Bombyx mori: one gene and its partner. The protein of the gene in region 1 binds, or shares a complex with, the protein of each later gene. Links are inferred from orthologs where the notes say so. Each region holds a gene or a part of one and is shown on either strand. Other genes may lie near its edges.

Region 1 (2,818 bases):
AATGTAAATATTGTTTGATTCTGTGACTACATTTTTAAAGAGTTCTGAAGTGTAAAATCTTTTAAAATAAACAGCAAAAAAAATAAAAACCTGTACGAAGACTTTGGTATTATGTATATATTGTGGCTTTGTTCAAATTTAATATGAAATGTATTTATGTCATAAGTATTGGAATGCTACATGTCCTGAATACATGTCCATAGCAGTTTTCATTATGTATTGAGATTTCAAAATTAGATTAGCATTTGCCAAAATAAAATTTCCATCACTGTTTTAGTTTTGTTTCCTTTACGGGATCTGCTTGTAGTCTACATATATGCAAAATGTCAATTGAACATTAGTCAGGTTCTCTCATTGAATTTTTTTCTCAATTCGACTGGGTATCCGTAAATGGATTCCCTAGGGGGTTCTCTCATTTATGTTCAATCTGAGAGCTGACTTCCTTTCACCACTAGAAATTGAACATGTGAAAATTCTGTATGATATTATAACTTTATAAATGTTTTCCTTTCAAATGGTTTTTCTGGGACCCAGAACATGAAACCTTTAAATTTTCTTAATTGAAGATTTTCTAAATGATTTAAGTTTCTTAAAAAGAAAACAAATTTCTTTAATAAGGTTTTTCATTTATTTTAGCTTACATGACCTGCGAGTAAAACTGCTATGTTCTTACACATACTTTTAATTTCATCGTTACTCAAATATTCTGAGCCCAAAATCGCGTTTCCTAGAGCCAATGTCTCTCTCATAGTGTTTGCTTTGATCCAAATCCTTCCATTCATGCCAGCTGCTAATTCAAATGGCCATTCGTTCTTTAATGAGTTCAATAATGGACAATGTGGGTTTAATATTTTTCTGATTAAATTCAAAGAGCATTTGAATACGAATCCTTCTTCTAATACTCCTAGTCGGCCTTTTTTTCCATGCGAATCAACGCACACAAGCTCTGGTTCCATATCTTTGCTTGCGTTTAACATTTTCGCGTACACAACATCGCCTGTTTTGATTGCGGGACGGTTTTTCTTCGTCGCTCCTTCGAACGACAGATATGACAGCGATGCGGCACAACTCCCCCCGACGTCCACACGGAAAATATCGCCCGCTTTCTGTACCACGGTACCGATCACATTTTCACCTCTAGAAGGCACATAGCGCTTCTGATAATTGTCCACCCAGTATGTATTTGGTGTTCGTTTCCGTAATACGCCTGGTTTTGTTATAAAAACACCGTTAATTTCTTTGCGAAGTCCAGGACCTAGTAGAACTTTTCCTTTTTCGCCAGCCGCCACGATCTCTGGACAGTGATCTCCAGGTAAAACTACATCATCTATTGAAACGTTCATGATATTTTTGTTCTATTTTAGTGAGAATTATAAATGAACACACAAATAAATACAAAGCCCTAACCTCTAAAACAGCAATGTTTATTTGATTTGATTGGTCCATCCAATAGGCAAAGAAAACATAGCGCATAGGTACCTACCAGTTAAATCTTATGCATTTAATTGTTGTATGAAAAATGAAATTTAGGCGAAGGAAATAAAATTAAGTAATGATAACATTAAATGTGTTGAGCCGAAACCAGTACCCATGTATGTAATTCTGATATCCATTGAAATAATGCTGACTTTAGGTTCCATCACAGAATACCATAATATGTCTAGGAAAGCTGCGTAATCATAGTCAAATAAACTAACTTCACTTCATTTCATTCATCCACATCATTTTCTATAGAAATATACCACAATATTTAAAAGATAGTATATGGTCTGATACTTTTGCCTTTCTAGATGAAAAAATACAACTATTGCTATTACTTTGACACTTTTGACAGTTGACTAACTCGCAGTGCCTAGAGGTTTGCACATGTTCGCTGTTTACATATCACCGAAAAACTAATTCGGAGTATTAGTTATATTAAAATGCCCGCAGTAATTGAAAATGACGTAATAAAATACAAGGGCAGCAATTACTTTCGTCAAAGATTGCTACTTTCGACTCTCAGTGGGCGTGCTATTAAAATAGAAGACATTCGCAGTACCAACGATGACCCGGGTCTTCGGGAATATGAAGTCAGTTTAATTCGGCTACTGGATAAAGTGACGAACGGTACTAGAGTCGAGCTGAGCGAAACCGGTACTTCAGTATATTACCAGCCTGGTATACTGATTGGTGGACAAGTTAATCACAACTGTTGTACCCAGAGAGGGATAGGTAAGTGGTCTTCAATAAAGTTTCTACTCACGTCAAATACGTTATTAGGAATGTAGTTTTCTAAATTAGAAGATTATATATTAGTTTGATTACAGCTGGAAATTCAGACAATTCAGCATACACATTCTCCTGATAGCTAAAAGCATGGAGAGTCTAGTTCAGTGGAGCAAGGCATGGACATAATAAATATTGTTAATATATACTATAGGATGGGATAATAAATCTTTTGTCAGGCATGCAACCGTCTAGGAGAGTCCAGTTTAAATACTAAAATAAGTTTTGACAGAGTGAGGACGCCTTGGTTGTTTTTGAAAGTAGTTTTAGTGACATCAGCTTGACTGATGTAACTATCTAAACTAAATCAAACCATACCATGGTCTGAACATTAACTCAGCATTTAAATACTTCCTGTTATGTTCATCCTCGGACTGACAAATTGAAATTAAAAAATAACCTTTTTAGGTTATTATCTTGAAGTTCTACTAGCCCTGGGACCATTCTGTAAGGAACCTTTAAATGCAGTCCTACAAGGAGTAACCCACAGTGACCTAGATGTATCAGTGGACAAAATAAAGACGGCAGCGCTACCTGTGCTCCTTAAATT
Region 2 (4,350 bases), on another chromosome or scaffold:
GCCCATAAGTCCTTTGAAAAGTAAAATTTGAATAAAACGAACAGGGCGCGCGTGAGCGGTGCAGGGGAAGCGGGGGGAGTAACTTCGGTTTCTGGGAATTTAGTCGCGATGGAGCGTTTTACCGGAGCGGACCGTGCGTTTTATGTGCGCGAGTTTTATAAAAACGACAATTCGGCAACCGTTGCGCGGCGTAAATTTCGAGAACACAAAGGTTTACACAACTTTGACGACACTCCAACTCTTCAAACGATTAAGAACTGGGTTGCTAAGTTCGAGGAGACCGGTTCGACGTTAGATAAACCGCGGTTGGGTCGCCCAAGGACGTCACGTACGGAACAAAACATAGACACAGTGACACAGTCTATTCGCGAAAATCCGACACAGTCAACTCGTAAGCGCGCCAGAGCATTAAACGTATCCAGGACATCGTTACAACGGATTTTGAAGAAAGATTTACATGCCAGGACGTGGTTTCAACAGGATGGGGCCACTTCTCACACCTCTAACACTGCTATGCCCGTTATCCGTCAACTTTTTCCTGGCAAAGTTATCTCTAAGAGAGGAGACATTTCCTGGCCTCCACGTAGTCGAGATCTGACCCCGATGGATTTTTTTTTGTGGGGCTACCTTAAGGCTAAAGTATACGACACAAACCCGCGGTCGATTGAGGCCCTAAAAGAAAACATCCGCAGAGAAATGACAAGCATTTCAGCAGTGACGTGCCGCGCAGTCATCGACAATTTTAGACGTCGTTTGCAAGAGTGCCGTGTTCGCAACGGATTACATTTAGGAGATGTTATTTTCAAAAAATAATTCCCGTTTTTTAAGCTTTTTATGTAAATAAAAATTTAATTCATAATGTAATTAGTTTTATTTTAATAATTTTTTTTTCATATCAAAGGACTTATGGGCCACCCTGTATTATTCGTGAACTATTCCACGCGGACGAAGTCGCGGGCAAAAGCTAGTACATATATAAATGAATTGCTGTTCGTTAGTCTCGCTAAAGCTCGATAACGGCTGGACCGATTTGGCTAATTTTGGTCTTGAATGATTCGTGGAAGTCCAGAGAAGGTTTGAAAGGTAAATAAATATGAAAATGCTCGGAACTAAATAAAAATAACAATTTTGTTTTTCCTTTGTTGTGTCCCGCGTCGGACGGATTCCTTTTGTTTGTTTTAAGTTTATTTTATACAAAAGTTTAGGTCTTTTATTTATCGATTGAGGCACTACGAAGTCTGCCGGGTCAGCTAGTTAATAATAAATTCACAATTTAATAATACATTGACATTTAATAATAAAAATAATTTGGCCACTATTAAATATGTAGCATATTGAAATCTGGTAACCACTTTACATCGGTTGAGCTCATCAAATGATCTGTGAAATTAACAGAAAACATTATCTATATCAATTAAAACAATTTTCGTTTTTTTTTTTCATTATTTTTGTTTACAAGCCTGAAGCATGTGTAGAAAGCTTGAGAGTGAAGAACTACCCCCACTTAAAAGCAATAGGCAGATCATAACTGCTCCATGCTAGAAGCAGATAGATCATTAATCACCAGTACTTCCAATACCACCAATCTTCATTTTTAGGAACAATTCCAATTCACCCTCGTTAAATACAAATCAGTACTCACACCACCATAATCTTCTAGTTCCTGTATAGTAACATTTATACCAGTTCTAGGATACAGAGAACCAAGTATTGCTGCTTCACATGTCTGTTTCACTATATTCTCTTTGTATCTGTAATAACATGTAATATGATTACAATTCAACAATCGACTGTAACACCTATTTCTTGAAAATATTCCACAATTTAACATCACTTACAGATGTTTCTTTGAGAAACCTTTCATGAAGCATCAACAGAGACTGGTGGAAGACTTATGGGGATCAACCTCAATCACTTTGTTAATGTCTACCCTAACAGAGTCGCAGTGCTTTGCTGAATCTACCATGTCAGAAAAGTGACTCACTTAGAAGATCAAGCAAGAATATCAATAAGTTGTGTATCTGCCATATTGAACTCTGTTGTATCTAGTAATGTTTAAACAATACATTCATTAATGACAACCAAATTTATGTTTTTTGTAGACATATGACCCTCCTAATGGTAAGTGGTTACATTCGCTCACGCCAACGTCAATGTTAGGGGCAAAGCCAAGCAGCTACATGCCATTATGTACTCTCAAAGAAGCCTCGTTTGAAGAAGGACATGTCATAACGCTTGGGAAACACCACAGAGGGTAGTTCATTCCAAAACCGAACGGTGGATTTCATCTATTATTATACAAATGACCACTGACAAGCAAATATTGTTATTAAATTAATTTCCAATAGCCATATAGCTCTAATACATTACCTGTTTTCCACGCTCGGTTTCCCATTCTTATTACTGAACAAAACCTCAAGAGTTGACTTATCTATTCGTTGACTGGTCATCTTTATATCTAAAGGTCCATTTACGCTCACCAATGATACAGTATCCCCTGTAAAAATATTTACAAGCTTTGATGAACGATTTTCTGTCCAAGAAGTTTTAATTAACATTGTTGTACTTTTTAAGACGATGAACTTTGAATGTTCGTAAAATCTTACTGTTCTACTTATTTTTTGTAAAAATACTAAATTATTATTTAACATGTTGTACCTAAATTAAGAGTTTCGGTAAAATGACCACAGCTAGATTATAGGGCATAAAACTGTTTTTACCTTGTGATAAAATAGCTGATCCATCAGATTTGCTCAGGAAGTTGAATTCACATTTCATAGGTTTTAATTTAAAATCCTGTACATCCTTCATATCAGTCACCATATTTAATTCGTTCAAATGTTTAAATATATCTTGAAGTAGTACAATGAAACTTGATTGCTAATTGGGTTTCTGATTTTCTAAAATTCAAAGATGATCTTTATTTATTTTAATAACAAGAAAAATATAGAAAACACATAGACCTATATAGTATATATACCTATATAGGTTTCCTACTTCATTGAGAAAACATGTGAGAATGACATTGACAGTAGTATTCGTTTGTTTTTTACAACCAGAAGGGCAAAGCTATTGAAACATACAGCCTAATCTTTTGTAAATTCTATTTTATGAAGACGATATGAAAATGAAATGAAATTAGGTTGATTAATTTCAAACATTAATTAATTGGAATTAAATTAAAACTAAGACTTATTAAGACTATTTCAGTGGACTGTTTGGAAGATCCCGAGGATCAACGTCCGGTGACTTTGTTTTATTTACCTAAATTTATGCACTTTCCCAGATACTAAACAGTTCATAAACATCCATTAGTACATGTTTAAACATGAAGAAACATTAAATTAACAAAATAAAACTATTCTCACAACTTTGCTACTCGCGTTCCCGCCAAAAAGTCCAAAATAGGAGTACATAATTATCTATTTAGGTACATTGTCCTTAGTCTGAGTTTTTTAAAGTTGAGTTGACACAACGCCCTTATCGGCAAGAGTAGGTTCCAACTCATCATAATCTTTCATCTTTAAAAACTGAATCATTATCCCAATTTAGTACTTTTTTCAGTGTGCTCAATATTTTAAGTTTTTTGAAAAAAAATCTCTATCTTCGAGATCTATATATTAATACGTGAAGCAAAAACTGTGTATCCCTTTTTACGAAAATTGCGCGGAAGGAGGAGTATGAAGTTTTCCACACTTATAGAGAATATAGAGAAGAAGTGCACAATGCTAATCTTTTTTAAAATAATGCATAAAAGATACATTAAATCAATAAAGAAAACATTACACACACTACATACCATGTATTTGACGCACACACGCATGCATATTATTTATTGTTAAACTTTTGTTCTTTTTGTTGTCAAATTGAGAATAGATTAAATATTGTTTGTCTTTGTTAATATTTTTTAAAGTGTAGTCTTGGCGAAATTTGTAAAGAAGTATAAAATACAATCATAATAGTGTACTAGTTTAAATAAATGACTCAACTTAACAAGAACAAACACAGGAGAAGTAGCGTTCTGCAGAAAAGCTTTACTAGCACTCTACGAGTTATTAACTTCCACCAGGAAGCCTGATTTTATTGAAGGGAGCTATGTTATGTGTTTACTGGAACAGTCATTACGAAAATCTTGTATTAGCTATTCAAACTCGCCCGATATTTCTTCCCGAGAAGGGTATTTTCATTTTTTTCTTACAACAAGGACTTAGCAGTAGTACAGATCTAAAGTACAAAGAAGAAACCGTTAAACATACTTGTAAATTACCACCAAAAAAGTTACGTTTATTTAATAGGCTTCATAATATATTCTAAAATTTGTGCACAATATTGTAGTTATTTATTGCTACT

The links. Proteins that work in one complex are often made in the same cells at the same time.
Region 2: Rrp40 (region 1) and exosome complex component RRP46 share a complex: the UniProt entries of both Homo sapiens proteins name them as parts of the RNA exosome core complex. The link is inferred for Bombyx mori from reciprocal best matches to the Homo sapiens genes EXOSC3 and EXOSC5.

Annotation. Positions count from the first base shown.
Region 1 is NC_085114.1:14,716,077-14,718,894, reverse strand, and holds Rrp40 (exosome complex exonuclease Rrp40), read right to left. Parts: upstream 1,423-2,818; 5' UTR 1,344-1,422; coding exon 633-1,343; 3' UTR 610-632; downstream 1-609. Other genes in the region: probable RNA 3'-terminal phosphate cyclase-like protein, read left to right, coding at 1,923-2,214, 2,677-2,818. UniProt on the Homo sapiens protein: Non-catalytic component of the RNA exosome complex which has 3'->5' exoribonuclease activity and participates in a multitude of cellular RNA processing and degradation events.
Region 2 is NC_085131.1:1,264,032-1,268,381, reverse strand, and holds the start of exosome complex component RRP46, read right to left. Parts: upstream 3,019-4,350; 5' UTR 2,981-3,018; intron 2,975-2,980; exon of another isoform or gene 2,901-2,974; 5' UTR 2,824-2,900; coding exon 2,721-2,823; intron 2,498-2,720; coding exon 2,371-2,497; intron 1,752-2,370; coding exon 1,643-1,751; intron 1-1,642. UniProt on the Homo sapiens protein: Non-catalytic component of the RNA exosome complex which has 3'->5' exoribonuclease activity and participates in a multitude of cellular RNA processing and degradation events.